7 linked regions of the Canis lupus familiaris genome follow. The protein of the gene in region 1 interacts with the protein of each later gene in a pairwise test. Links are inferred from orthologs where the notes say so. Each region holds a gene or a part of one and is shown in the gene's direction. Other genes may lie near its edges. The genes, in order: ZGPAT, KIFC3, LDOC1, CCDC57, CDCA7L, DHX15 and CCDC33.

Region 1 (4,433 bases):
CGGGGAGGAGGATGCCGCAGAGCACAGGTCCTGAGGGAGAACCCGGGAGGAGGCCCCGGCGCTGAAGCCCAGCACCCACAGGCCTCCTGCCTGCCCGCACCTGCTTCCTGGACACCTCTCGTCTCGGCCTGTACTCATCGGAAGCAAATCTCTGAGTTAAAAGGGAACTGGCAGGTCCTCGCTCTCGAGGGTGGGGGCAACGGGGGAGCTGGGACAGGGCTGGGGGGAGCCTCAGGGACACAGTGGGGGACGGAGCTGAGGGGAGGCTGGGCCGGGGGTGTCCCTGGAGGAAGCGGTGCGAGGGGCGGCCTGGGCACGGCCGGCTTACCTTGTCCCACAGCGACTGCAGCTCTTCCTGGCCCCCCAGGTCCCAAAACATGAGGCGAGCCTTTCCCACGTCCACAGTGCCGACTGCGGGGAGAGGACAGAGGACAGCACAGGCTGGGGACCCGCTGCCACGCGCCGCCTCCCGGCCAGGCCAGGGACGGGCGGCTCTGGGCTCCCCGAGGCGGCCCGGGCGGCCCCCCAAGCCCTCCGCCCCGGGGGGGGGGGGGGGGGCCTTACTGTTGAGACCCACGGTGGTCGTGATCTTGGAGAGACTCATTCCCTTGTAGTTCTTGTTAAAGCGGGTTTTCGACTGTTCCAGGAACGTCTGCGAAGAGACGCGCGCGGGAGGTGAGGGCGGCTTCCCCGGTGTCCGGTGTCCGTCCCGGGCGGGCGGGGGGCGCGTGGGGGCGGGCGGGGCCGCCCGGAGGGGGAGGGCCGGGGGCGGGCACCCACCGTCTTGCCCGCATTGTCCAGCCCCAGGATCAGGACGCAGTACTCGTCCTTCTGGAACATGTACTTGTAGAGGCCGGACAGCAGCGTGTACATCCTGCCTGCGCAGCGGAGGCGGCGGTCGCGGCGGGCTGGGAGCCGGGGCGCTCCCCTCCCCCCCCTCCCCTCCCCCTCCCCCCGCGCCCCCGCCCCCGAAGGCCCGCCGTGACGTCAGGCTCCCCGGGCTGACGACGCCCCCGCCCCAGCAGGTGCCCGGCGGCCGCGCAGCGGGAGCCCCTGGCGGCGTCCGAACCCCCCCCCCCGAAGCCGGGCTGCGAGGCGGCGGCCGGCGGGCGTCGCGGCCCGACGGCGGGTGCGGCCCCCGAGGCCCCGCCCCGCCCCCCCCGCCCCGGGGCGACCGGCCCGCGCTACCTGGCGCCCGTCGGGGCCGCGGAGCCGCCCGCGCCTGACCTCGCCGACCCGCGCCGACCCCGCGCTGACCTCGCGCGGCGCCCGACGGGACGCAGGCCGCGGGGGGGAGGGGCCGTCCCGACGCTCCCCGCGCGCCGCGTCCCGGCGTCCCCCGCGCGAGGCACTTCCGGCGGCGGCGGCGCCCGGGAGGAAGTGCCGGTGGGCTGCGAGGGCGGAGGCGGGGGCGCCGGCCGCTCTAGCCGGTGAGGCCGGCGGGGCTCTATGGCGGCGGCCCGGAGCCCGCGCGGAGGCGGGGCCCGGCCCGGGCGAGGGGGCGCGGTCTGGGGCGACGGGGCCGGGGCCCGAGGCGACGGGGCGGGCGGAGCGGGCCGGGCCGCGGCGGGGGCGGGGCGGGGCGGGGGGCGGCGCGGCGCTCAGCGGCTCCCCGTCGTTGCAGCCGCGCCGCCCGCCGGGCCGCAGGATGGACGAGGAGAGCCTGCAGGCCGCGCTGCACACCTATGACGCGCAGCTGCAGCAGGTGGAGCTGGCGCTGGGCGCCGGCCTGGAGCCCTCGGAGCTGGCCGACCTGCGGCAGCTGCGCGGCGACCTCCAGGAGCTCATCGAGCTCACCGAGGCCAGCCTGGTGTCCGTCCGGAAGAGCAAGCTGCTGGCCGCGCTGGACGGGGAGCGCGCGGCCCCGGGCGACGCCGACAGCCGGGGCTCCCAGCAGGCGGGGCCCGCAGCGCCCGCAGCCCCCGGGGCCGCGCCGGACACGGCTCCCGAGCGCGAGCGCCAGCCCGAGCCGGCACCCAGCGGGCCCGGGCAGGGGGAGGAGGAGCGGGCCGGCGACGAGGACGGCGACGAGGAGGAGGCGCTGAGCGGCCGCAAGGTGAACGCGCCGTACTACAGCTCCTGGGGCACGCTGGAGTACCACAACGCCATGATCGTGGGCACCGAGGCGGCGCGCGACGGCTCTGCGGGCGTGCGGGTGCTCTACCTCTACCCCACGCACAAGTCCCTGAAGCCCTGCCCCTTCTTCCTGGAGGGCAAGTGCCGCTTCCAGGACAGCTGCAGGTGAGTCCGGGGCAGGGGCGCAGGTAGGCCGCGCCGTCCTGGGAGGCACGGTGCCCCACCCTTCGCTGCTCTGGTTCTTTCGGGGGAAGCTTGCAAAATGCAGTGTCGCAGCCCCGCAGGGCCCGGCGTGGGGCCGCCCGCTGCCCCCTTCGCCGCTGATCAGCCCTTCCTTGCCAGGCTCGTGTTTGCTCTCTCCTTTGTCTTCCTCTTGTTTGCCTGCACCGTGTAAAGGAAACCGTAGAAGTCACTGGTTTCTTTTTTTTTTTTTTCTTTCATCAATCGATGCTCAAGGGTCGCATCCCTGACAAATCCGTAAGTTGGATCTTGTTCATGATGAGATTCACACGACTGTGGCAACGGTGTCACTCTTTCCTTAAAATGCCCGACTCGGCTTTTGCTCCTTATCGCTTCCATCTGTGGAAGGAATGTTTACCAAGTCTTGCAGATGATTTTCTTTTTGAGTCAATAACCCAGGGAAACTCTCTCTAGTCCTTTGGTCTTTGTCTTTGCTTACGGACCGTTGCTGGGTCCAGAGCGTCCTTTAACACGATTTTCCACAATCCTTTCTTTCCTTGTAAGTCTGATTACAGTGTGGCACCCGTACGGGAAGGTGCGTAAATCATGAAACGTACTGGAGTTTTCACAAAGCAGACCCATCCATGTGCTGCTGAACAAACAGGTCAGAGAACAGACCAGCAAGCCCTCTCGTCCTCTCTGCCGTTACCCTCTGGGTGCCTCCACGGGCCCGGGTGATGCCCCTTGTGACGATGAGAGCTGACGTGTCCGTGTGCTGTTCCTCTAGGCCAGGCTCCGGGCCAGGAGTTTCACGTGTGTTGACCCCTCCGTGCAGCAAGCCCCAGGGGTGGGCCCCACCACGGCTAAGGTTGCCTGGCACAGACGGCGGCACGAGCGAGCCTGCAGCGGGCACAGGCTAGCTTTGCCTCGGCCCCCAACTGCTGTGCCTTGCTCTGTTGTGTTAGCTATAGGCCCGACTGGCACAGCCTACGACAGCCACTTGCCACTGCCAGACAGATCAACGCTTTTCTTGCATTGCTTTGCATTTTTATTTTATTTATTTTTTAAAGATTTATTTGTGAGAGAGAGAGGGAGGGAGTATGCACCCTCCGTGTAGGGAGAGCCAGAAGGAGAGAGGGAGAGAATGTCAAGCAAACTCCCTGCTCAGCTCGGAGCCGACCCTGAGATCAGGACCTGAGCAGGACCTGAGCAGACGCTCTTAGCTCAGTAACCCACTGAGCTACCCAGGCGCCCCTGCTTTGTATTTTTAAAAATAGCTGTGTCACAGCCCCTTCTCCTCCCAGGCTGTGATCACAACTCCCTTGTGTTTACCTCTAGCAGATGTTAGCTCTCCGCAGACAGGAGCCTATATGAGAAGAGTAACTTTTTGTGCTACTTTTGAAACAAATGGTGTCACACAGGATGGTTTATTTTGCAACTTGCTTTTTTCACTAAGCAGGGATGTGAGAGGGCATCTGTGCTGGTATCTCCAGAGCTGTTTAATTGGTTTTAACTGCTATGTTCTTTTCTCTCACAAATGTGCCACATTTTATTATGTTCCTTTCTGATGTTTTCCAGTTTTTGTCTGTTACAAACAGCTTGCTGTGAACATCTTAGTAGCGTCTTCTTCTGTACCTGCCTGAGAATTTCCCTAGTATGGGACCGGTGTGTCGAGAGTGTGCAGAGTTCCCGCTTCCGTATGAAGGCCGGTGCCTCGTCCCTCATCCTCTCTATCACTGCCGATTCCTGCCTGCTGAGCGCTGGGAAAATGGGATCATGGTTGAATTTGTGTTTCCTTGGTTCCTAGTGAGATACAGTATTTTTTCGTTCATTTTTTATAGCTTAAGGTCTGTATTTCAATTTCTTTATCTGTAAAACAAACGAGAGTTGTCTTTCATAGTTGTTGGGACAATGGAATGCGTTACCACGTGCAGAGAATTTAGAGTAGTACCTCACAGGTTGTAAGCTCACAGTCAATGTGAACTTTTACGTTGTTGTAAAGTAAAATCAGGCGTGGGAAGTAAGTACACAGTGTGGGGATTCCTGTAACCCCGAGCAGTCACCACTCAGCTCACAACTGCAAATCTGCCAACCACCCCCAAGCCCCTCCGTGCACCTCAAACCAAATGCAGCCTGCTCCCTCCTCCAAAACGACCGCTATTCTGGACTTTTATTAT
Region 2 (4,243 bases), on another chromosome or scaffold:
TCAGGGAACGCTTATTTCAGGGCATTCACCTATCAAGGCATTGCCAGGGGTTTGGTGTGGGTGTTGTTCCAGCTCCAGGCTGGTTGGTATAGGGCTGCACAGATGAATGTGCACGCACACGCACCTGCCATGGAGAGCCATAGAGAGTCGGGGGGATTGGACACTGTTCGAATAGGTAATCTCTACTGTCTGGTGGAAAGCAATCTGCAACCCAGGTAGCACCATTAGGAAGTTCTTGGGTGCCTCAAAGTCCATTTTAAAGCCAAAAGCAAATTCCACATTGCCTCTCTGAGCTGACTTGGCTGCTTCTGTTAATAGCATCACTGTCTGAGTCTGGGACTGTAGCTTGGTACTTAAATGCCCTCACAGCTGCTTTACACATGATAGGTGTTCAATAAAGATGTGTGTAAGGAATACTTAAAGTCTGTTCTCTTCATCTGCTCAGTTCATGAGAAACCTACGCAGCTTGCTTTCTTTCTTTCTTTTTTTAAATATTTGTTTCATTATTTTAGAGAGCACAAGCAAGAGGGGCAGAGGGAGAGGGAAAGAGAATCTCAAGCAGGCTCTGTGCTGAGCATAGGGCCCCATGCGGGGTTTGGTCTCATGACCCTGAGATCATGACACAACCAAGAGTCAGAGGCTTAACCCACCACACGAGGCAGGGGTGTTCTATCCAGGCCGGTGCTCCCCACCCCCAACTTCATTCTCCCATACCACCTGGTGCCTCCCTGCATCCTGTTCTGATTGTGAAGGTTTGTTGAAGTGCTTACCTCCCTCCTGACAGGGAGCTTTGAGGCCCTATCTCTCCTGATCAAAGAGGACCCCTGGCAGGTGCCTGGCACAAAATAGACACTGGATAAATAATTATTAAATGAAGAAGCAATGAATCTTTGTATCTTACTGCCTGCCAAGTTGTAGGCACAGAGTGAAGGCTAGTTGAATAGAATGAGTGGACTTTAAGAGAATTTGATCTATATAAGCCACTGTGTCACTGGCCACAGTCAGGCCCCGTCTGATTAGAGTTGCTGTCGACCTGTGCGTCCTGTGTGTGGGGCTGTGACCTGGCGCATCTTCAGGCTGCCAGGCTTCCAGCCGAGGGGCTGAGATGGGAGGTCTCCGCAGGGTGCAGCTGACACACCGGGTGGTCTCTTCACCCACTTCTGAGCTTCCCTACTTGGGAAAAAGCCCCCTGAAATGGTGAGGGGCTGTGTTGGATCGCGCAAGGCCAAGGATCGCTGCGGGGGGGGGCGGGGGGCTGCCGCTGCGGGTATAGTGACCCTGTTGCAGGCGGCGGGCTCCCTCCGAGCTGCCACCCAGGTGTCGTCGGTCGCCGGCTCAGCCTCGCCTCCCCGTTCTGTCCGCAGGCCGCCCGGCGCCCCGAGGAGGCCGCTGAGCCCCGGGCCATGGTCCCGTCTCGCCGGCCGTGGAACCTGGGAGCCACGCCCTCGCTGCGCGGCCTGTGGAGAGTGGGCCGGGCCCGCGCGCCCGAGCCGGGGATGGCTCGCCCCGCCCCCGCCGGCCCGGCCGCCCGCCCTTTCCCATACACCGGCCCGGGGAGGTTGAGAACTGGTGAGTCCGCATTTTTAAAATGCCTCTTTATTTCCCTTCCTTCCTCCAGATAGCAGCGATGGGGCCGGGCTCTCTCGCAAGTTCCTAGGCTCGGTCAGGGCTGTCAGGTAATTACAGGGTGCCGGCAGCCCGCGGGCCGGCCGAGTGGGAGTCGGGGCGCCAATCTCGCCGGCGCTCCTGCCCGGCGCTCCTGCCCGGCGTCCTGCCCGGCGTCCTGCCCGGCGTCCTGCCCGGTGCTCCTGCCCCGCGACCTGCCCCGCGTCCTGCCCGGTGCTCCTGCCCCGCGACCTGCCCCGCGCTCCTGCCCCGCGTCCTGCCCGGTGCTCCTGCCCCGCGCTCCTGCCCCGCGCTCCTGCCCGGCGTCCTGCCCCGCGCTCCTGCCCGGCGTCCTGCCCCGCGACCTGCCCGGCGTCCTGCCCCGCGACCTGCCCGGCGTCCTGCCCCGCGCTCCTGCCCCGCGCTTCTGCCCCGAGTCCTGCCCCGCGACCTGCCCGGCGTCCCGCCCCGCGCTCCTGCCCGGCGTCCTGCCCCGCGCTCTTGCCCCGCGCTCCTGCCCCGCGCTCCTGCCCGGCGTCCTGCCCCGCGCTCTTGCCCCGCGCTCCTGCCCCGCGCTCCTGCCTGGCGTCCTGCCCCGCGCTCTTGCCCCGCGCTCCTGCCCCGCGCTCCTGCTGGTGGAGAGACGTCCCGGGCGCCGAGTTAGACCCCGGCGCGGCCGCCGAGCGGGGGGCGGGCGGGGGCGCGTCCTTGGTCCCCCGCCCAGCTCGCAGTCTCGCTCCGGTTTGTGCCCGCAGCTGGTAAACAAGGTAGGTGAAGTGGCTGCCCCGGTGCCCCGTGCGGCGCGGACACCTGATCGCGGCGGGTCAGACCGCTGGGGGCGCGAGGAGGAGCCGCGGCGCCGGCAGAGTGTGGGTGCCCTGAGCCGGGTTTCAGGTGCTATGTGGGGCGGCTCCCGCAGGGTGGCCCACAGCAGGTGGGGGCAGTGAAGGAGCCCACCTGGGATGCTGTCAACACCAGCTCTCCTTTCTGGGTCGCGTCCCCTGGTGCCTCACAGGCCAATAAGTGAGCGGCACCTCTGATTTGCCTGTGGGCTGGGTTGTCGTTGGGTCTGGGCAGTTGCCCCACGACTGCCTCCTGAGGTGAGCTTGGGCAAATCTATCTGGAAGTGTGGAGGGAGAGAGGGTCTTCAGTCCAGATGTCATCAGACGCTTGCTGTCTGTTGTTCCTGACCTAGAGAAAGAGGTTTAGATTACCAGCCTGTCTGAGCTAGCAGAGTTCCTCTGGCTATCAGATCCAAGCCCCCCTGGTACACAGAAGGGGAAACTGAGGCCTAGAAAGGGTACACAGCAGACTCCTGTTCCGTCTCCTCTCCCACCACATTTGTGCCACTGGTGGGCACCAGAGTGATACCCTCCAAAGTGTCTCTGCAGGGGACAGTGAGGCTGGGGATGGCACTGGGGGCCTCTGGGAAAAGCATAGGCTTTTGGGTCAGGTAGCCTGAGTCATCTGGAGGGGGATGAAGACGGTCTCTACTCCACATGGTTGTCCTAAGGATTACATATGTAATATGAATGAGTATTACTTTTCTGGTTAAACAAAAAAAACAAGACAAAGAAAAAAAAAACAAGCAGAAGACAAAATATGTTCCCTTGGAAAACTAGAAAAAATAAAAAAATAAAACCCAGAAAAGTATAAAAAAGAAAATAAAAATCACCTATAAGCTTGTTAGTGAACATCTTATGTAGTTCCTTCCGATCTTGTATATGTGGGCATGCATATTGGTCTATTAAATGAGTATCATGAAGATTATATGACCATACAGGCTTATCTGCTTTTAAAATTTAAGACAAAGGTCAAATGAAATCGTGTGAAATGCTAAGCAGAGTGCCTAACAGTGAGTAGGGCTTCAGCCAGCTTGTCACTCCTAGCCCCTCAGCCCCCACCCCGACTCTTGCCTCTGTCTTGGGAGGTATAGGCAGAGGGTGAGTTAGCCCATGGGATTGCAGGACTGGCTCAGTGTGACCCTGGGCACGGTTTTAACCCTCCCCGGTCGTGGTCCTAATGGCCTGCACTTATGGCCAGTTTCTGTGTGCCTGGTGGAGAGTGAGCATTTTAGGTGTGTCATTCCATGTAACCCTCAGCACAGTACTATGAGCTTGGTTCCTTATCCCCATGTTATTGATAAAGGAAACTGAGGAACAGGCAGGGCAGTAAGCACTTGGCCGGCTGCTGGCACTCAGGATACTGTCACACCCCCATGAGGCTGTACTCATTCCCATCCCATGCTACCCTGCAGGCTGTGGTGGGGGTTGAAGTGGGTGCATGGGATGTCCATACCATGATCACCTCTCTCCCCTGTCCAGTGAGGGAGGCAGTGGGTCAGAGGCTCGAGGGGATGCACTTTAGCTGGTGCTGAATATGCTTTTGGAGGCTGCTGGGACCAGGCCACCCAGCATGGCGTTGGTCTTTATGAAGTCAGGGGAGAAATTGCCACCTAGAGGCGGCCTTGGTAATAAAGCCACAGCCCTGGGGTGCTCCTCCTGTGAAGTTTAGTGCAGCCAGGTTGGCATCGGCTTCCCTTTGCTACTCTCTGGAGAGGGAGTTCATGAGCAAGTGTCAGCCCAAAAGCCACTGTGGAGGGTGGGGAACACATGTACCCCAGAAGCTTCCGGTGCCT
Region 3 (3,398 bases), on another chromosome or scaffold:
TGGGATGATTTTGAGCAGGGGAGTAAAAAGTTCTCACTTTTGTTCAAAAGGATTCCTGTGCCTACTCTCTGGAGAGAGTGGGCACTGAGAAATATGAGCCACTGCCCTGAGACATGAGTCACTCGTTCCCTGGCCATATCCACAGGGGAATCTGTTCCAAGATCCCCAGCAGATGCCTGAAACTGAGGATAGTCTTGAATTATATATAGACTATATTTTTTCCTATACGTACTTGATACAATTTAAATAAGTTAGGCACACTAAGACATTACTAGCTCATGTGATAAAATAGAATGTTTGTAACACATAACTATTATGCAAGTTTCAAAATATCTCTTAAAGTATCTTACTGTCCTGTACTCACCCTTCTTGTGATGACGTGAGATGATAGAATGCGTAGTGATCCGACGCCAGGCTACTGGTTGATCTTCTGGTGCCAGGTCAGAAGGAGGGTCAGCTGATTCCGGATCAAACCACCCTTGGCACGGGTGACTGAAAGCACCGGAGAGCAAAACCGTGGATCAGGAGGGACTCCTGTGTGTACTGCAGGAAGAGAAGAGTGAAAGCTAAGCAGTTGCAGCAGTCTGGGTGGGATAAGGAAGGCTGGATCAGGGTGGTATAGTGGGAGAAGTGACTGATCTGGGGATATATTTTAAAAGCAGAGCCAACAAAATTTCAGCTCTAGGGTCCTGGACTCAACGATTTAAATAATCCAGTTCAAAGTAGAAAGCCCAAAGCATTTAAAAACACAAGTGTTCATTGTTAAGCAACAAACAACATGCGACCGAGGGCCAAGGGGCATTAACAGGACATGAAACAGAGGGTCAAAGAGAGGCGAGAGCCTGCAAATCGTTCTCCAGTGGTGCTTTTGCAGAAGTTTTTATACTTGACTGTTTAGAAAAAAATACTTTTTAAAAAAGGATGTAGGTATACAATATTGTTTCCCAACTAAAGAAAAAAAAACCCCATTTAGATATTGTTTTGTTTTCAAAGAGGAGCCCCAAGGAAGGGTCTTTCGCAACTCCGAAAGGATGCGTGGCTCCCGCGGGGCAGGCCGCAGCGCCAGCAGTTCCCTGGGTGAGTGGGATTTCAATAAGCGAGGACGTGTGTCACCGAAACGCGCAGGTGGAATCTCGTAGCCACAGACCCACCAAGGAGCCCCGCACTGTGTGAGTCGGCTGAGTCCGAGCGTGACCGATCCTTTAAAGTTGAGCAGGTTGGCCCTCTCTGAGCTGGCTTTTGGCGGTCCCGGGGCGCACATCCGGGGCTCTAGCGCGGGAGCCTGCCCTTCCCGGGCGCCGGCCTCGGGAACTCCGGCCGCGGGCCCCCGGCTCCCGCCCGCCCCCTCCCTTGGACCGAGCCCCCGGCCCCGCCCCCGGCCCGCCGGCCCCGCCCCGGCCCCGCCCCCTCGCGGCGCCGGCAGCGCCCTGACCACGCCCCCCGACCCGGGCCGCGCCGGCGCGCCGGCCGCCCGAGTGGCTGTGCGGGCGGAGCTTGCGCAGCAGCCGGACCCCAGCGCGCACCGCCCTCCGCCCCTGGCCACCGTGCGCCTCGGCGGACACGCACTTCCTGCGAGGCCTCCGTGCGCACCTGAGCCGAGCCCAGCCCTGCGCTTGCAAGCCGTTCGCCATGGTGGACGAGCTGGTGCTGCTGCTGCACGCGCTCCTGATGCGGCACCGCGCCCTGAGCATCGAGAACAGCCAGCTCATGGAACAGCTGCGGCTGCTGGTGTGCGAGAGGGCCACCCTGCTGCGCCAGGTACGTCCGCCGAGCTGCCCGGTGCCCTTCCCCGAAACGTTTAGCGGCGAGAGCTCCCGGCTCCCCGAGTTTATCGTGCAGACGGCGTCTTACATGCTCGTCAACGAGAACCGATTCTGCAACGACGCCATGAAGGTGGCATTCCTAATCAGCCTGCTCACCGGGGAAGCCGAGGAGTGGGTGGTGCCCTACATTGAGATGGATAGCCCCATCCTAGGTGATTACCGGGCCTTCCTCGATGAGATGAAACAGTGTTTTGGCTGGGATGACGACGAAGAAGACGACGACGACGACGACGAGGAAGATGATTACTAGGCCGGGAGACCCTCGGGCCCAGGGGGGAGGGCCCTGCACGCCGCCATCCTCTCCCCCGCCTCTCCTGCCCGGCCCGGAGCCGCCCAGCGCCCTTCCGCCCTCCCATCCCCTTCCCTACCCCCAGCTCTCCGGTTCTCTCCGTCATCCCCCTGTAGTGCTTGCCTTTGTTCCGGTTACCTGCTGCTGGGGCCTCGCTCGGAAGCGCGCCGCCACCCACTCTGGCCAGCCCCGGGGCCCTCCCCTGCTGATTTGGACTGTGTCCTGAGCCCCAGCTATAGGGCAGGCCCCTGTTACAAACTGGTCAGACCACGCACAGCCCTGCCCTGCCGACTGCAAGGCCTCCATCTGCCCAGAGACCTACGCTGCCACTTCACCACCGTCCACCACATTCCAGCGACAGAACACAGCCTTTGAAAATAAGGACCAACCTAGAAGATGCCTGAGTTGGCTCTATGTCCTTGGACATTGATTTGGACAGCTCACCAGCCCCTGAAGGGGCCAGTCTTTCAACCTGGTTAGTTCCCTGCCTACTCCCAGGGTCCTCCCCTTCCCCACCAGATTGCTGCAGGGGCCTAGTGCGCCTGGCAGCCAAATTGTTGACATTTCTTTTCTCCTATGCACCAGTTTTGCACAGCTGTCCTTTTTCTTTCCAAACTGCAGCAGTCCCAACAGATGTGTGCATTTGGACAGAAATACTAAAAACAAAACAAACAAACAAAAACAGGCACTCAGCCCAGCTCCTCAATACCACCTGGAAAAAAGCATTTACGTTCTTTTCAATAAATATCAAGCACTACAAAAATAAAGAAAGGAGTGTCTTTTAATGGTTAAGTGCTATCATTGGCCTCTTCCAATCTCACTCTGACTCCCGTTATGCCCCCTGAGGTCAGGGAACTTAGTTCAGTCCCAGTATTCGCCACTGTCATCTCTAGGCTACAGAGGACAACTACCACAGGGTTTTCTAGGAATTCTGGTACTCTCCTCACCAAGGCATTTCTTAAAGCCCTGGCAAAAGGAGTGAGTGTCCTCTGGGGCCTCCAGGGTGGCATGGGTAAGGGGTGGCTGAGCAGGTGGCACACCATCCCAAACTGGGACACTTGAGAGTTAAAGGGGGACACTGTTAATAATTAGACTAGGACAACAGGCATAAATCTGGACACATACAATGTTATTATCTTCTTGAGCCTTTGGATTCCTTACTCAACACTGCCAGAGAAATTCTGTCCCTTAAGTCTTGTTGCCCGCGGGGCGCTGTTGAGTTCAGACTTCAGTTAACTACGTAGCATATTGTTTTAATGCCCCTTTCAGGTGCTTGAACTGACATT
Region 4 (3,796 bases), on another chromosome or scaffold:
CGGCGCCGCTGCTCAGCGGTGTGGGCGCAGGGCCCTCGCGTCCGCACACACAGGTGGAGGGGCCTGCCCATCTGGGCTCAGCGGGGTCTCCCGGAAGTTACTGGAGCACGCTCTAGCCTGGCCAGGGCCAGGGGCTCGGCTTTAGCCACCTCCATTCCCTTCTGAGTTCAGGATGGGGGAGCCAGGAGATGGGAGCTGGACTGGCTGCCGGGAGAATGGGGGCCCAAGCTGAGCAGGCGTCCCGACGTCCCCAAGATCGGTGGCCCCAGCACAGGGCCGAGCTGGTGGCCTCACATCCCAGAGTGCTCCGCAGGAGCCAGCGGGTCCAGGCCAGCCAGAGCTTCCAACCCCAGGGGGAGGCCGTGGGGGGTGTGGCAGGCAGCAGAGGCTCTCCCCAGAGGAGGGGGCGCGGGAGCCCCGGGACACGCGGGGAGTGTGAGGAGCAGCCGGGGAGACAGTTGAGCAGTAGCCCCGGAGAAGCCAGGCCGGAGTGTGGAGGCTGAGGCCTCCGGGAGCCATGGCCCAGGACAGGGGTCCCACTGCCCAGGTGGACGCCGTGGAGGAGCTTGGGGGACCGAGGTGGAGGGGCTGGGGGTGAGCCGCTCCAGGAGAAACAGCAGGCTGTTGGTTGGTGAGCTTTTATCGTCACAATAACCTATGGAATTTCTGGAGTCAGCCTGGGGGGTGAAGCTCAGAAGACTGCCTGCTTGCAGAGCCGGGGCCCAGAGCCGTGGGATGGGGCTGGCCTCCAGGGCCCGTCCCCGCAAGGACACAGGCAGGGCGCCGTGGCATGTGCATGGCGTGGGGAGACCCAGCCCAAACTGTTGAAAGCTGTTGCGGTGCTGCCCCCTCACCGCGGCCTCCGTCCCAAGCCCCCAGTAGTGCACAGGCCCCGTGGGCGCCCGCAGGACCCAGTGGCACCACCGGCAAGGACACAGATCGCGTCTGTGGGGGCACCCGGACGCCGCGAGAGCCCCCCAGGTTTACGTAGACAGCATAGACCACGTCCCCAGGGTGAGTGTGGCGCCTCCACCACCAAGGACCTGTGTGCCCCGCTGGCCTCCGGCCCGCCCGCCCGGCGGTGGCAGCGTCCGCCTCCTCTCACCGAGAGCCCTCTTGTTTCAGGAGCTGCAGCTGGAATTCGAGTCTGAAATGCAGAAGAGGGAGCACGGGTTCCGCCTGCAGGCTGACGGCATGAGCAACGCGGTGCTGACTCAGGAGCTCAAGGTGGGTGGGGGCTACTCCCTTCCCTGCGGACATGTCCTGGGGGGAGGGCCGGGTTCACGCAGAGGCCTCCCTTGTGGCACCAGGGTCAGGGGTGACATGCCTGAGGAGCGCCTGCCACCGTGACCACTACGTGGCTCCTCGCACGAGTGACGGAGGAGGGCTGGTGTCCCCGCTGTGCTTGACCCAGCCTTGGGGAAGGGCCCCCACCCGGGATAACCTCCACCCAGCCCTGGCCAAGGCCTGTGTCCTCTGTGAGCACTTGGAACGGCCTCTGGGGAGGTGCTGCTCGACCGCCATTTCCAGCAGAAGAGGCCAGGCCAGGTGGTCAGGGCCATGTGCGGCTGTGCGCCAGCCACGGTGCTCGCCACCCCTCATGGCTTCTCTAGTGCACTAGCCCCATGCTGCCAGGGCACATGCGAAGGGCGCTCATGCCTGACCTTTAGCCTGGAGATGGGTGGCGAGGGTGGGGGTGGCCTTGAGGGAGCCCGAGGTTGAGCAGGGGAGGAGGAAGCAGGGGCGGACACCTGGCCGGGGCCCTGCTGCCCCAGTGGCTTGCACCTGCACGGGCGTCCAGCAGATGTCAGTAGGGAGTGCCGCGCTCACAGTCGGGGTGGGGGGCCCTCCCGCAGGCCGCCAGCCTTCCTGCAGCGCCACAGTCCAAGGGCAGCACACGGCCAGCCCGAGGCCCCAAGATCCCGGGCCATTGTCGTGGTCAGCGTGCTGGGTGGGCAGCTCGCAGCCCAACCTCACCTCTGCAGGGCACCGCTTGTCGTGGAGCGCCAGCCTGTGTCCTGCCAGGCCCCCGCCTGGCCCCTCTGCACAGGCACCCCTGACCACACTCCCCCTGCCAGCCAGGGGCCAGGCCCAGGCTGCCCCACGGCGACCCTCAGGAGGCCACTCGAGGACTTCTGAGAGCCGAGGGGAGAGGGCAGCTGGGTCGTGCAGGGCCGTGCCCTGAGCTCACAGCCGGGTGGGCACTGCTGTGAGGGTGGGGCTGGGGACACGCAGGGCATGGGCGCTGGTCCACCCCCTTCTGCGTGCCAGGCGGCTACAAACCCCCAAGAGCCTTCTCCCTGGAGGGCTCCACGCAGACGTCAGGGCCGCAGTTCACATTCGAGGAGACTGAGGCCGTGGTCTTACACGCCCCACCTGCTTGTGCGATTCCAGTACCTGAGCAGTAGTCACAGAGCAGCCGGGACCGTGTGTTGCCGCGATAGGCTCATGCACGCGGCCCCGTCGTGGGTGCAGCCGGGGAGCCGTGGTGGTCAGGTGGGGACTTGAGGACGCCCTCACGGTGTGCTGCTCTCGAGTTGTTTTCTTCTCTCCGTTCAGCCCCAGTGCTGTCCTCATTTTGAGTTCTTTATCTCTGGAAGGTGAAACTGCTGAACAAGGAGCTCGGGGCCCTGAAGGAAGCTGCCGCCCAGGCCGCAGAGTCGCTGCGGGGTGCTGAGGCCGCCAATGCGGGGCTGGAGGAGCAGCTGCAGCACAGCCACCAGGAGCTCAGGGACCTGGCCGCCTCCAAGGACGCCCGGTGCGCAGCCACACTGCCGCCTCGGGGCTGGGGGCTTCCGCCTGGCCCGGCTTGCTCCAGGCCGGCTGGCTGTGGGCCCGTCTGCTTTTTCTGCTAATGTTTCCTCCTTTTCAGGATAAAGGACTTGGAGGGCAAACTTAACTCTGTGCAGCTCTCCAGGAAGAAGGAAGAAGAGGTCTTCAGGAGGAAGTGAGTGTTCCCGGCTCGTGGCCTCGCGGCCCCGGGGTGAGGTCCAGGCAGAGATGCCCCCCGACCTGCGGCCATCCGGCCTTTCAACTCACGGCTTTGGGTCTCCTTCCATGATCTGTTCAGGATTCTCAGTGGTAGTGAGGCTTTTTAGTGTGTTAAAACTTTTTCAAAAAATACATATACATTCTTAAGGTTTTAAGTCACCTGTACACCCAGTGTGGGGCTTGAACTCACAACCCCAAGATCAAGAGTCATGTGCTCCACCGACTAAGCCAGCCAGGTACCCCAGTGTCTTAAAGCTTTTGAGCTTAAAAGTCTGGTTAACCAGGGGCTCCTGGGTGACTCAGTTGGTGAAGTGTCTGACTCTTGATTTCCACTCAGGTCATGATCTTGGGGTCATGGGGTTGACCCCGTATCTGGCTGGCCCTGGAAAAGCAATGTTCCTCTTCATGTCCTCTTCTAGAGCCTTCTTTTTTTTTAGTTTATTTAAGTGATGTTTCCGTCCTGTGGGGCTCAAACTCACAACCCCGAAGTCAAGAGCCACACACTCCCCTGACAGCCATCCAGGTGCCCTAAAAGTGTTTTTATTTGTAAACTGAAATCGTTGAAAATGAATATGATTTTTTAGCATATTATAAATATTGGCATTAAGAAGTAAAACTGTCAGGGGCACCTGGCTGGCTCAGTCAGTAGAACACATGACTCTTGGTCTTGGGGTTATGAGTTCAAGCCCCACACTGAGTGTAGAGATTACCTAAATTTTTTTAAGAAAAAAAGAAAAAAAAGAAGTAAAACCATTCAGTCCCCCCCCTTTTTTTTAAATATAAGATTTATTTATTGAGTGCCTGG
Region 5 (4,285 bases), on another chromosome or scaffold:
GTGGATGCTGAAACCACTCAGTGAATTGGTTAATCACCAATTAACCAGGGAAGGATAATCCCAGAAGGTCAACTATCACCCTACTTATTTCTTACTAAATACAAAGAGGAAAAGGTCTTTTTGCTAAGGAGAAATATGACACATCCTGCCGTAACTTGATCAGAGAGCATCACCACTGAAGACCAGAGATGGCCAGACATTAGGTGCTTTCTGAGTAAAGAATGCAGCACTACCTATGAAGTAGTCATCTTGCCAGAAAGAAGTGAACTTGAATCTGACAGCCTGTAACTCTAAATACCGAATCACAGGAAATCCCAGGAGATGTTGGAGTCTACTAAATACCATCTTGCAGCTGCAAAAAACAAACAAAAACCCCAACCTTCCAGACTCTCGCAAACCTCACAGTGAAAGGACCCAGTTTTTTAAAAAAATAAGTTGCCAAAGGAAAAAAAAAAAAAGGATCCATAAGAAAAGACTTTTCTGTTGATCAATGTATGGACCTTATTCAAATCATGATACAAATAAACCGTGAGTTTAAAAAAAAAAAAATAGGTTGACGGAACTGTGAAGACAGACTATGTATTTCCTGATGACACAGGGTGAAATGCTATTATCTTCAGTTGCTTCAGAATAATTTGGAAGGAGGGCAGTTGGATAGGGATACAGCTGGAGCAAGACTAGCCATGGGCGCAGGACTGCTTGATAGCTGGTCCCTGTGTGTGTTCACTATGCTGTTCTACCTACTTGGGATTATGTTTGAAAAATTTCATAATTACGTTAAAAAACACTACTAGGGGATAACTTGTTATTTTGTGCCTCCTTATGCATTGCATTGAGAAGTGCATGTCATCTGTATAGAATTGTTGCCAAAAATATTTCAGTAAAGTATATCAGTGACCAATGAGATAAACTCAGAACGTATGACATTCAACAAGGCAGTAGTCTTGGGTTATTTAAGTAATATCAGTGTTACGAAAAGCAGCAAAAAACAGTGTCATAAAAAAAATAAAATGCATGATCTTTGCTTGAATGGGTCCCTTTAGCCCCCTTAAAGTTAAAAAAGACATTTTGGGACAGTTGTAGACATTTAAATATGAGCTTGTATTGAATGATACTATTGAATTAATGTGAATTATTTTAGGTATGATTGTAGTTTTACGGATCTAAGGGGAATGGGGAATGTTTTTATTTTCAGGCGATGTGTGCTGAAGTATTTGAGGGTGAATTAGTATGATGTCTGCAATTTAAATATAGGTGGAATAAGCTGGCTCGTACTAAATAAATGGCTATTTCTTTAGGTCAAAAACTGTGAAATACTAGCAAATGCTGATGGTTCCACTTAATGTTTGTTGACAGAGAAAGCAAAGGTGGTGACACATGGGGACTCCAGGTAAAGAATATGTAGATGGTTGTCCTATTCCTTCAGCTTTCCATGTTTTTTTTTTTTTTTTAAGATTTTTTATTTGTTCATAGAGACACAGAGAGAGAGAGAGAGAGAGAGAGAGAGAGGCAGAGACACAGGCAGAGGGAGAAGCAGGCACCATGCAGAGAGCCTAACGTGGGACTTGATCCAGGGTCTCTAGGATCATGCCCTAGGCTGCAGGCGGCACTAAACTGCTGCGCCACCAGGGCTGCCCGCTTTCTATGGTTTTGAACTTGTTCAAAATAGAGAGTTGGGAACAAATAGGTAGTCAGCATATGAAAATGAATTCTGAACTAATACATACATACTTGTTAGATTAAGAGCGCTGATAACATTCCTTCTTGGAATACTTGCCTACAGTAGTGTTTACATTCTCTTGAAATTAATTTTGAAACTACTTGATTGAGAGGAAAAAAAGGAGCAACAAAGCTACTTATTTCAATGTATGAGTTTTCATGTCTGAATCAGCAGATGACAAAGAGCAAAAAAATCAAAGACCAATAGGTGGAAATGAGGAAAAGAGGAGCTTATTAGTATCATCTTATTTTGACATGGATGACATTTAAAGATTTTCTTTTTTTTAATTTTTATTTATTTATGATAGAGAGAGAGAGGCAGAGACACAGGCAGAGGGAGAAGCAGGCTCCATGCACCGGGAGCCCAACGTGGGATTCGATCCCGGGTCTCCAGGATCGTGCCCTGGGCCAAAGGCAGGCGCCAAACCGCTGCGCCACCCAGGGATCCCGACATGGATGACATTTAAAGACAGATCCACTGCAGGAGAAAAATAGTTGTTTTCTCACAAATGATGACTGTTCCTTTATTTTTTGTGTAGAGATCACATAGGGTTTCCATCTAGATATGGCCTTGACATTCTCTGTAAGATAGGATATATCTCTAGAGTTTGAAAAACAGTCTAATCTTTCCCTCCCCTACCTTCTTTTGTTGCCATGAGGGATCAGCTGAAGCACATTTTGCTCCGGGGTAACTGGGGTCTTCTTGGTGACCATGGCAGATCTGCGACCTAGTAGATTGATAGAGCTAGTAGATGCTAATCCCTCCTCCTTTCTAGAAAATTTCCCTAAGTGATTATAACAGCCCTCGGTCTTATCCTTCTTCTTTTTTGAATCCAAAACAGATCCCTAAAGAAGTGGCTGACATCTTTAACGCCCCCAGTGATGATGAAGAGTTTGTCGGTTTCCGAGATGATGTTCCCATGGAAACCCTCTCATCAGAGGAGAGCTGTGATAGTTTTGACTCACTGGAATCAGGGAAACAGGTACAGATGCTTCCTTTCATGGAAGGCACGGTCTTCTGGAAGCCTGGATCTTGGTTCAGATATTCTTTTATTTGAATATGGTCTGAGATTGGTGATAGCAGTTAATTGTCGAGCATTTTATTTTATAAGTGTTTTGCTTCATGTTTTAAGAACCAATGAGGCTACCTAGATCACTTTTACTGTTTAAGCCCTTTCTATAATAGTTTTTTTTTTTTTTTTTTAATAAAGAGGGCCTCACATGATCAGATCTATTTCCTTTGTAACCTCAGGGCTTGCAGCCTGTGTCCAGGCTGTATTCAGAGTGCTCCCATGTGGCTGGGAGGGGAGAGGTGGTCCTGCACAGCCACCGTCCACACCGCAGTGCCGTGCAGGAACGTGTGGTTACCACGAGACAGTCGTGTCCCTGTGCTCCTATAGCGGGTTTCCATTGACACCCTACTCTTGGAATTGCCGGGGAGAGCCTTATTCTTTCTTGGATTACTTTGATCTCTGGCAAACACAAATTACGTTTCTCTGAGAGTTAGTTTCCTGGAGGTTTATATTATGCCTTAGCAGTGGTATGGCCAGTCGAAATAGCTAGCTTTCTGTAGCATTTTCTTCTGCATTCATTGTGGCTCTCAAAATTCTTCATTCTCCCTGGACCGTAGCCTCTCTCAAGAGGCTGTAAATTAAACCCACCTTGCTTCAACTGGGCAAGTGTAGGAGGTTCTAGAAGCACTTTATGATACAGTGTAAGTGCCTGCTTGATCACTTGGCTGCCTGTGTGTTCCAGCCTCCTCCTGCAGCTCCCCTGATGCTCATGGCCCTTACCTTAGTTACAGCACTAAGGTCTGGCCGTGAGCTTTGCCTTACTCAGAAACCATTTGAGCATGGTCAGGCAGTGAGGGAGAGTAGAGCCCGTGGACCCGCCGTGAGGGGCATTCTGAGCAGCGCAGCATGTGTGTGAAGAGCTGAGCCTGGAGCCCAGCAGTGCAGTGGGCATCCAGAAACAAAACAGCTTCCATATCTTGGCTGTTGTAAACAATGCTGGAATAAACGTAAGTGTCAAATTAGTGTTCTGGTTTTCTTTGCGTAAATACTCGCTAGTGAAATTACTGGATCGTAAGGTAGTTCTATTTTTAATTTTTTGAGGATCCTCCCTACTACTGTTTTCCACAGTGGCTGTACCAGTGTGCGTTTACACCAGTGGTATGTGAGGCTTCCTTTCTCTCCACATCCTCACCAACACTTGTTTGTTGTCTTTTATTTTAGCCATTCTGACAGGTGTGAGGGGATACCTCATTGTGGTTTTGATGGGCGTTTTCCTGATGATTAGATAGGGAAGCAGCCTAAGTGTCCATCAATAGAAGAATGGATAAGGAAGATGCTAAATATGTGTTCAGTGGAATATTAATGCAGCCATGAAAAGGATGAGGTTTTTGCCATTTGCCGCAACATGGAAGGACCTAGAGGGTGTTAAGCTAAGTGAAGTAAGTCTGAGAAAGACAAATACCATATGATCTCACTCACGTGGAATCTAAAAAATAAAATAGATAAAAAGCCGAATCAGACCTATAAATACAGAGAATAGACTGATGGTTGCT
Region 6 (3,796 bases), on another chromosome or scaffold:
CTGTAGGGGGTGAACACTTGGATGGGAGAGAGGAGGATTACTTTTTATATATGTATCTTATATTTGTATGAAAAGTATGAATATGTGGATATATGAAAGTATATATATGAAATGTGTATGTATGTGTATATATGGAATAACTTTAAATTCCTGTGGAATACAGTTATATTTTAGCGAGGACAAAAGAAAATAAGATTGATCTGCTTAACATTTCTGTATTTGGGGAGCCATCCTAACTCCTGCTGTCTCTAGAATTTTAGCTGTATTCTGTCAAGGGGTTTCTGTTGTCCTGCTGATGTGCTTTTATAGGGAATGAATGGTTTTTCCTACTCAGCTACTGATAATTGGTGCATGGGAAGTTTGTATGCCTTTTGTGTCTTATGGATAAGGAATATTGAGGTGTTCAGTGGCTTGTCTCATAGCTCTATATTGCCTCAACTATTTCAAGTCTGGGTCCAAATACCTTGTAGAAGTTTGCTATAGGAATTGGTCTGAAGCTTATTTAAAAATTATTATTGTATTAGGAATCATGCCTGCTAACTGGAAGTAGATACTAGAACTGAGTACTTAAAGTTGACCTAGGCTTAGTATAGTGACCGTCTGCATAATTTTAGCATTTTAAGACAACTTACTATTGTTCAGTGGAGCTTGTTTTTTTAGTGGTTATATTTCACTTGATAGATGTCCAAAGTATACATAGGTTTACAGAGTTTTGCAGTTACTATTAAGGATATCATGCAAGAGGAAACAATGAAAACAAAAGGAAGTGTTTTAATTTTAGTTTTTTTTTTTTAATAGGACAAATACATGCTTATAAAACAAAATTGGGAAACTGATTTAAGGCATAACTTGAAAATGAACTCACCTACAATCCTTTAACTCATGTTTGTATTACTGTTATGTGAAGTAGAATGGTCCTTGTGTCCAGAAGCAGTTTTGAATTTTGAACATACTTTCAGTGCAAAAAATAACTTTTCATGTAACTTGAGGGAGAATCTGGGGAAAATTGTGATGCCCATATCCCCCTCTTGCTTTATTTTCTCCTCCTTTTCCCCCACCTTACTCTCAGTCTTTAATTTCTACTGTCTAAATAAGTAGGAAGGGGTTTTACTTTACTCAGTCAAGTCCGAGTCTTGTGTAACAACAGCTGGTGGCTAAAGGTGTAGAAAGAGATGGTCCCTTAAGAGAATTTGAGGTCTCATCAAGGAAAGAAAAAGATTTATGGGTGAGGCATGGAGAATTCTTGATTATAAGGTCTTTTTCATTATGTCTGATACTTACATAATTCATTGGTTTATTCATTTGGTGGTTAGACATTCTTGTTCTTTGTGACTATAACACTGCCAAGAACATTTTGCGTAAAATTCAGAATCTGAATTCTAAATTTTTATTTTTAGGAAGGATCGAGATCGTGACCGGGATCGTGAAGATCGGTCTAAAGATCGAGACCGAGAACGTGATAGAGGAGATAGAGAGCGGGAAAGGGAGAAAGAAAAGGAGAAGGAATTGCGAGCTTCGACTAATGCTATGCTTATCAGTGCTGGATTACCACCTTTAAAAGCTTCCCATTCAGCTCACTCAACTCATTCTGCACATTCAACACATTCGACACATTCTGCTCATTCAACACACACAGGACATGCAGGACACACATCACTTCCACAGTGCATTAATCCATTTACCAACTTACCCCATACTCCTCGATACTATGATATTCTAAAGAAACGGCTTCAGCTCCCTGTTTGGGAATACAAGGATAGGTTTACAGATATTCTGGTTAGGCATCAGTCCTTTGTACTGGTTGGTGAGACTGGGTCTGGTAAAACAACACAGGTGAGTTATTATTGTGTACCACAGTACATACCGTATTAATGTTTACATTTACTAAATGTTGCTTATTTGATTGGAAGTCCTTCTGCCTTGTCTGTCTCCTAGAACATCCTGAAGACTAGCTACTTTGATGTTTGTAGTGCACAGAGTGGGAATCCTGTAGGGAGTGCCTATTTTCCTGAGTCTAGGGGAATATAGCAGTGCTGTTTTGTTAATGTTAAATATGGCAGAATGATGCATTCTGATCACTTTGACTCTGGGGTGGTACAAATTTGGAGGTACAAGTATTCTATTGCTCTGAGTAGAAATTTGGAACCACTGGGATAGTTTTGTTTTTGTTCTTGTTTGTTTTGAACCATGTGAAAATTATCCTTTTTTTTAAAAAGATGGAAGAGCTGAGTAAAGTCTCTTTATTCATGACCTCCACATCCATCTAGTTACACTTGGCCTAGAAGTAAACACTATCTTGTTAGTAATATATCTAGGATATTTTCCAAAAATGGATGAGCCATTGTTTACTGGTCCCATGTTATCGATCTCTAGGCTGCTTCTGATGGTTGTTTTTCATGAGCAAGTAGATCCATTAGACTATACTGTGGAATTAGAATATTTACGAATCTGATATGTGAAAAGTAGTATCAGCATAATTTTTAATTTGCATTTCCTGCTATGAGTGAGGTGTTAACCATATTTCCCATATGTTTGAGCCTGACCAGTCACAAATTTCTAAGAGATTGCAAAAGTAGCAGTCCTTGGCCATTGTAGAAAATTTGGAAAATCTGGAAAGTGTCGAAATGAATTTAATAACTTGTCTTACCATGTAGAAATTATGACTGTACTGTGTTTCTTCCTGGCTTATTTTCCATGTTTATGTACCTGTGACCCAAGTTTATAATGGAATGTACTGCATACGCAAGTTACCATTTAAGTTTCATATGCCACAAACCTAGATTGGAGTATATCATGGAGACATTTTGAAGGCTACAGTGGCAACCAGAATAAGAAGTTTTGAAAGACTGAGCCTTACTGAATACGATTTTTCTTCATAACTGAACGAAAATCTAGTATTGATGTTAGGAACTGAAACTGATAGGTTTATTTTTATCACCTTATGGAAGTTTAATGTGTGAAAAGATACGACTTTAAACTTATTTTAAAGAATTATTTAGTATTTAAAAGAATTATTTCAACTAGTTTATCTACATAGTATTTAATTAGCTATTGGATAAAGCTAGGCACTGTGTCCCTTGTATGTATTATTTGTGTCAACAACCTTACAAGGAAGTTGTTAATCACCATTTCACAGATGAACAAAATGAGCCTTAGATTCATAAGAGTCTTAGAGGTTTTAGTGGGTTGTCCGTGGTTATGCATAGTAGATTTAGGTGGGCTCAGTATTAAGAACTTTGTCCCATTGGCTATTGTTTATAGCCAATGCTATATTTATTTCATTCTGCTATTCTGTGGTCTTATGTGGTTAACCTTATTTCAGAGATGAGTTTCTTTAGTAGCAGTTAATGCAGATGGTCAAGTCAATTCAAAATGAGAGGTTTGTAATTATTTGGATGAATATTTGTGGTATTTTTTGTTTGTTTTTGTGTACCTAGGATTGCAGAGCAGTTGGGTTCAAAGGGAAGCTGAACAGCTTTATTTTATTTATTTATTAAAGATTTTATTTGTTTACTCATGAGAGAGGCAAAAACACAGGCAGAGGGAGAAGCAGGCTCCATGCAGGGAGCCCGATGTGGGACTTGATCCCACATTGCAATATGGTATGTTCATGCTATATCCATATATAAGAAACTAAAGCCAGTTGAGTGTGAACGGGGGCACAGGTTTGGTGAAGAGAAAGCTCTGTATGCTCTGTATATGGACGACAGACTTTGTAGGAGATCATAGCAAAATTTGACTCTGTATAAGGTAATAGAATAAACAGTAGATTGTGGAGTTACTAATCTTAGGGGAC
Region 7 (3,796 bases), on another chromosome or scaffold:
CCCAGTGAACCCTGAAAGGCCCTAAGCACTTAAAAAAAAAAAAGATTTTATTTATTCATAAAAGACACACAGAGAGAGGCAGAGACACAGGCAGAGGGAGAAGCAGGCTCCCTGTGGGGAAGCCCGATGTGGGATTCGATTCCAGGACCCCGGGATCACGCCCTGAGCCGAAGGAAGACGCTCAACCACTGAGCCACCCAGGTGCCTTTTCCTAAGCCCTCTTTTAAGGCCTGATCAGTTCACACGTGTGGGGAGTTGTGAGCTACCAGCTAAGATGGTCCTGGCAGAGGGGCCTAGAAGGGAGTGCGCAGGGAGGAGGAGAGAGGAGCCAGAGCAAGCCCCTAGTCCCAGGTGCCCTCTTCCCCATGAAGGTCAGAGCGAGGAGGACCAGCACAGTAACGTCCCACCCCTCAGGGTCTGAGCTGGGATCCTCAGGCCCAGAGTGGAGCGGGGACCAGCCTCGGTAACATAGTGGCCCAGCTTTTCCTGAGTGGCCCCTCAGCTGTGTTCGCAGCCCCTTCCTTCGCTGCTTGCCTTCCCAAGAGCACCCCGTAATCAGGACCCTCACCCATCCCCCAAGAGCAGCTCAAGCCCAGCCCCTCCCTGAGGCCTGGCTTCTCCTCCTCCCCTCCCAGCTGTCAGCGCTTCTGTCTCTCTCACACTCAAACACAGCCTCTCCCTGCCCGGTCCCCTACTTTTCTCCTTCATAAATGGAGCTCATTTATCCCGGAAACACACACGGAGCTCTGACTCTGTGCCAGGTGTGTCTGCTAACAGCTGGGGACATAGCAGTGACTGAGGTAGACATGGTCTCTGCCCCTCTGGAGACTTGGTTCCAGCCAGATGGACAGAACACGAAAAGAGAGAAGTTAGAGTGAACACAGGCTATGAGGAGTGCCGAGGAAGAGGTGGTCGGGGGCTAAGAGAAGGGGGTGGGCTAGTTTGGCAGGAGTGGTCACAGAAGGCTTCCCAGAGGTGGTGACGGTTAACCCTAAGGGAAGAGAGAGCCAGCCACTGAGTTGCTGGGGCGGGGGTGGGGGTGGGGAGTCTAGGCAGTGGGATCATCATGTGCAAAGACCCTGAGGCAGAAGCAAGTGAGCAGGTTGGAGGGGTGAGACGTGTGAGGCTGGAGCAAGGGAGGACTTGGGGGCCGAGGGCAGACAGGCCAACACATGCAGGCCTTGGCCCTGATGGTAACAATTGTGGAATTCATTCCAAGGGCAGTGGGAGGAGTCACTGCTGGTCTCAAGCTGGGGGATGACACGGTCTAATTCATTTTTCACGAAAGCAGTTTTTGCCATCATGTATTAAATTGCTGGGGAAAGGGGATGGGTTGGGGGGCAAAATAGAAGCAGAGGCCAGTGATGGGGTCAGAAGTAAGAGGAGCCACAGGACTCACAGTTGAGGGGTTGGGGTGAGCGCTGAGGGGTGAGTGGGAGCCCATTTGGTGGATAAGGGGTGAGGGCCAGGAGCCAGATCAGGAGTCGCTCGGGAGGGCAGTGGAGGCATATGGGGGACAGAATCCGTGTCCTACCCCTGCCTTCCCAAGGCCTAGTCAGGGCCTGAAGGAGGGCAGCTTTGAGCAGAGAAGGAAGTAAGTGAGGCAGATGGAGGCAGGGATGAGCTCATTACTGGGGAGAAAGGTGGCAGGCGGGTTGGCCTTGTCCCCGAGAGGGCTCAAAGCCACCCAAGGCTCACCTGCCTCCTCTCTTCCCCAGGTCTTTCTCCGGGGAGTCAATGAGCCCCTGGTCAACAACCGTGACCCCATGGTGGTCATTGCCAGGGTGGTTCCCAACTACAATGATTTTAAGTGAGTGGGGCCCAGGCGGGTGTGGGCAAGGAGAGGGCGGGCCCGGCAGAGGACAGAGGAGGGGAAGGGCTGTCGCTGCCACCACAGGCCCTGATTCCAGGAGCCCTAGAACCCTCCCCTCCCCAAGGCCTTTCAAACCTCCCACTGGGGTCTGAGGTTCAGGAAGTTGCCCACAGTCCCTGCCTGGGAAGGGGCGGCTCAGAACTCCCTGCAGGAGGTCCTCAGCCCTCCACACCTGCTTCCCGTCCCACAGTCCCCCCTCCTACTCCAGCGCAGGACCAAGGCTCCAGCCAATGGTTTTTCCCAAAGAAGGCAGCCTGTGGGTCCGCTCAGAACTTCATGACCTTTAGCCCCACCTGTGAGTCCTCTCCCTCACCCTCCTGAGGTCTCCTGGCCCCAGCCAAACTCGTGCCCCTCCTCCCCAGACCACCTTTGGGGGTTTGGTGGATTTGCCGTCCTCAGGAAGGGTATTTGGGCTAGCGTGGCCCCTGAGGGTCACACAGCGTGGGGAGTCCCCCGGTGCACATGGGCCCTGTGTGACAGCTCCATTTCCTGGGGATCAGCTGTCTGCCTCTGTCACTTCCTCTGACTCTTCTGGCCCAACAGGACTGCGCCACACCATCTGTTGACCTGTGAACACTCCTTGCTTATTGAAGGAATGAAGCTGATACACTCCCTCCCAGCCCTCTTAAGAGCTAGGCACATGGCCACACGCTTGCTCGCTCGCTCGCTTACTTGCTCACACACACACCCTGGACCCTGCCCCTGCAGCCTCCAGGTCCCCCTTGACCTAAACTAGAACTGCCACCACCAGGGTGGGTCATTCCGGCAAGGACTTCCAATGGCAGGGCTTTTTAAAGATGGGGCCTCTGGGGCAGTCAGATGTGGCCAGGCCACAGCGAGTCACGCCTTGGGCCGGTGATCAGAGGACCAGGGTCCATCACCTGTCCTGGTGTCCAGAGCCCTGCGCCCTCCTGCAGGCCTGAGCCACCCGCGGCACTTGTGGGCTGACCGTCTCCTTGCCTCCCCAGGGTCAACCAGATAAAGCAGGACGAAGCTTCCGTGGGGCTGCCCATCACCCGCCTCTCCTTCCCTAACCCATCCATGATGCGCTTCGACGTTCCTCGGGGCAGCCAGAACGGGTGCCCTCAGGTACGGTCCCCCCTTCCCCCCCTCCCCGTGCACCTCCAGTGTCCCACCCACGTGTCTATTCATTGGCTCCCTCGCTGGGCTATTCCCCTGACCCCTAAGGGGTTTACTGTGTCCCCAGAGCCAAGCCTCCTGTGCTGTGGAGGAGCTGCCCTCAGGGCGCCCTTGGTCCAGGGAAGAAGAAGGCCTCACGCACATGAAAGGGTCACACGCCCACACAGGTAGTGGGTGACCTAGTAACAAACCAGGAGGGACTGTCAGGCCTGTAAAAGGCAGAGGAGAGAAGGACAAATGATGTCTGAAGCCGCTGATAGGAGGTCCCTAGAGTACGCACATTCGCAGAGACAGGAGGTAGAAGGGTGCTCGCCAGGGACTGGGGGGGGGGGGGCTGTTATTGTTTCATAGGTACAGAGTTTCCTGTTTGGGCTGGTGAGAACGTTCTAGAAATTGATAGTGGTGATGGTTAGACAATATTGTGAATTTACTTAATGCCACTGAATTGTGCACCTAAAGACGGCTAAAACGGGACAGTTTATGTTGTCTGCATTTTGCCACAACAAAAAATAAATTTTAATTCGAGGCAAGAGGGACGTGAAGCCTGGCTGATTGGAGCGGGTATCCAGACACAAGACTCTTGAGTGTTTAATAGGGGAGGGATTGTGCAGGGCGATAGGGAACAAGAGCACGGGAGTGGAGCTGGGGTGCACAGGACAAGACAGATGCATGTTCAGGGCCGGAGGGGAGAGTGAGTGGTGTGTCTGAATACGTGGCGGAGGGGTGTGCAGACTGCGGCTGGGTACCAGGGAGTGGCCGGGTCCGTCTCTTCCCATAGTCTCT

The links.
Region 2: the proteins of ZGPAT (region 1) and KIFC3 interact in binary tests that used the Homo sapiens proteins (3 or more experiments, as listed by UniProt). The two-hybrid records come from large-scale screens. The link is inferred for Canis lupus familiaris from reciprocal best matches to the Homo sapiens genes ZGPAT and KIFC3.
Region 3: the proteins of ZGPAT (region 1) and LDOC1 interact in binary tests that used the Homo sapiens proteins (3 or more experiments, as listed by UniProt). The two-hybrid records come from large-scale screens. The link is inferred for Canis lupus familiaris from reciprocal best matches to the Homo sapiens genes ZGPAT and LDOC1.
Region 4: the proteins of ZGPAT (region 1) and CCDC57 interact in binary tests that used the Homo sapiens proteins (3 or more experiments, as listed by UniProt). The two-hybrid records come from large-scale screens. The link is inferred for Canis lupus familiaris from reciprocal best matches to the Homo sapiens genes ZGPAT and CCDC57.
Region 5: the proteins of ZGPAT (region 1) and CDCA7L interact in binary tests that used the Homo sapiens proteins (3 or more experiments, as listed by UniProt). The two-hybrid records come from large-scale screens. The link is inferred for Canis lupus familiaris from reciprocal best matches to the Homo sapiens genes ZGPAT and CDCA7L.
Region 6: the proteins of ZGPAT (region 1) and DHX15 interact in binary tests that used the Homo sapiens proteins (3 or more experiments, as listed by UniProt). The two-hybrid records come from large-scale screens. The link is inferred for Canis lupus familiaris from reciprocal best matches to the Homo sapiens genes ZGPAT and DHX15.
Region 7: the proteins of ZGPAT (region 1) and CCDC33 interact in a two-hybrid assay, tested with the Homo sapiens proteins (2 studies listed by BioGRID). The two-hybrid records come from large-scale screens. The link is inferred for Canis lupus familiaris from reciprocal best matches to the Homo sapiens genes ZGPAT and CCDC33.

The regions. Positions count from the first base shown.
Region 1 is NC_049245.1:48,102,510-48,106,942, forward strand, and holds the start of ZGPAT (zinc finger CCCH-type with G patch domain-containing protein), read left to right. Parts: upstream 1-1,372; 5' UTR 1,373-1,430; intron 1,431-1,624; 5' UTR 1,625-1,648; coding exon 1,649-2,241; intron 2,242-4,433. Other genes in the region: ARFRP1 (ADP-ribosylation factor-related protein 1), read right to left, coding at 329-411, 565-652, 781-873. UniProt on the Homo sapiens protein: Transcription repressor that specifically binds the 5'-GGAG[GA]A[GA]A-3' consensus sequence. Represses transcription by recruiting the chromatin multiprotein complex NuRD to target promoters.
Region 2 is NC_049223.1:57,969,532-57,973,774, forward strand, and holds the start of KIFC3 (kinesin-like protein KIFC3), read left to right. Parts: upstream 1-1,388; 5' UTR 1,389-1,403; coding exon 1,404-1,569; intron 1,570-1,618; exon of another isoform or gene 1,619-1,676; intron 1,677-2,253; exon of another isoform or gene 2,254-2,372; intron 2,373-4,243. UniProt on the Homo sapiens protein: Minus-end microtubule-dependent motor protein. Involved in apically targeted transport. Required for zonula adherens maintenance.
Region 3 is NC_049260.1:112,048,771-112,052,168, forward strand, and holds LDOC1 (protein LDOC1), read left to right. Parts: upstream 1-1,482; 5' UTR 1,483-1,629; coding exon 1,630-2,073; 3' UTR 2,074-2,897; downstream 2,898-3,398. UniProt on the Homo sapiens protein: May have an important role in the development and/or progression of some cancers.
Region 4 is NC_049230.1:968,765-972,560, forward strand, and holds part of CCDC57 (coiled-coil domain-containing protein 57), read left to right. Parts: intron 1-1,125; coding exon 1,126-1,227; intron 1,228-2,600; coding exon 2,601-2,758; intron 2,759-2,872; coding exon 2,873-2,947; intron 2,948-3,796. UniProt on the Homo sapiens protein: Pleiotropic regulator of centriole duplication, mitosis, and ciliogenesis. Critical interface between centrosome and microtubule-mediated cellular processes. Centriole duplication protein required for recruitment of CEP63, CEP152, and PLK4 to the centrosome.
Region 5 is NC_049235.1:35,878,691-35,882,975, reverse strand, and holds the start of CDCA7L (cell division cycle-associated 7-like protein), read left to right. Parts: upstream 1-1,298; 5' UTR 1,299-1,342; coding exon 1,343-1,390; intron 1,391-2,561; coding exon 2,562-2,702; intron 2,703-4,285. UniProt on the Homo sapiens protein: Plays a role in transcriptional regulation as a repressor that inhibits monoamine oxidase A (MAOA) activity and gene expression by binding to the promoter.
Region 6 is NC_049224.1:86,154,785-86,158,580, forward strand, and holds part of DHX15 (pre-mRNA-splicing factor ATP-dependent RNA helicase DHX15), read left to right. Parts: intron 1-1,397; coding exon 1,398-1,833; intron 1,834-3,796.
Region 7 is NC_049251.1:37,851,877-37,855,672, forward strand, and holds part of CCDC33 (coiled-coil domain-containing protein 33), read left to right. Parts: intron 1-1,718; coding exon 1,719-1,810; intron 1,811-2,841; coding exon 2,842-2,962; intron 2,963-3,796.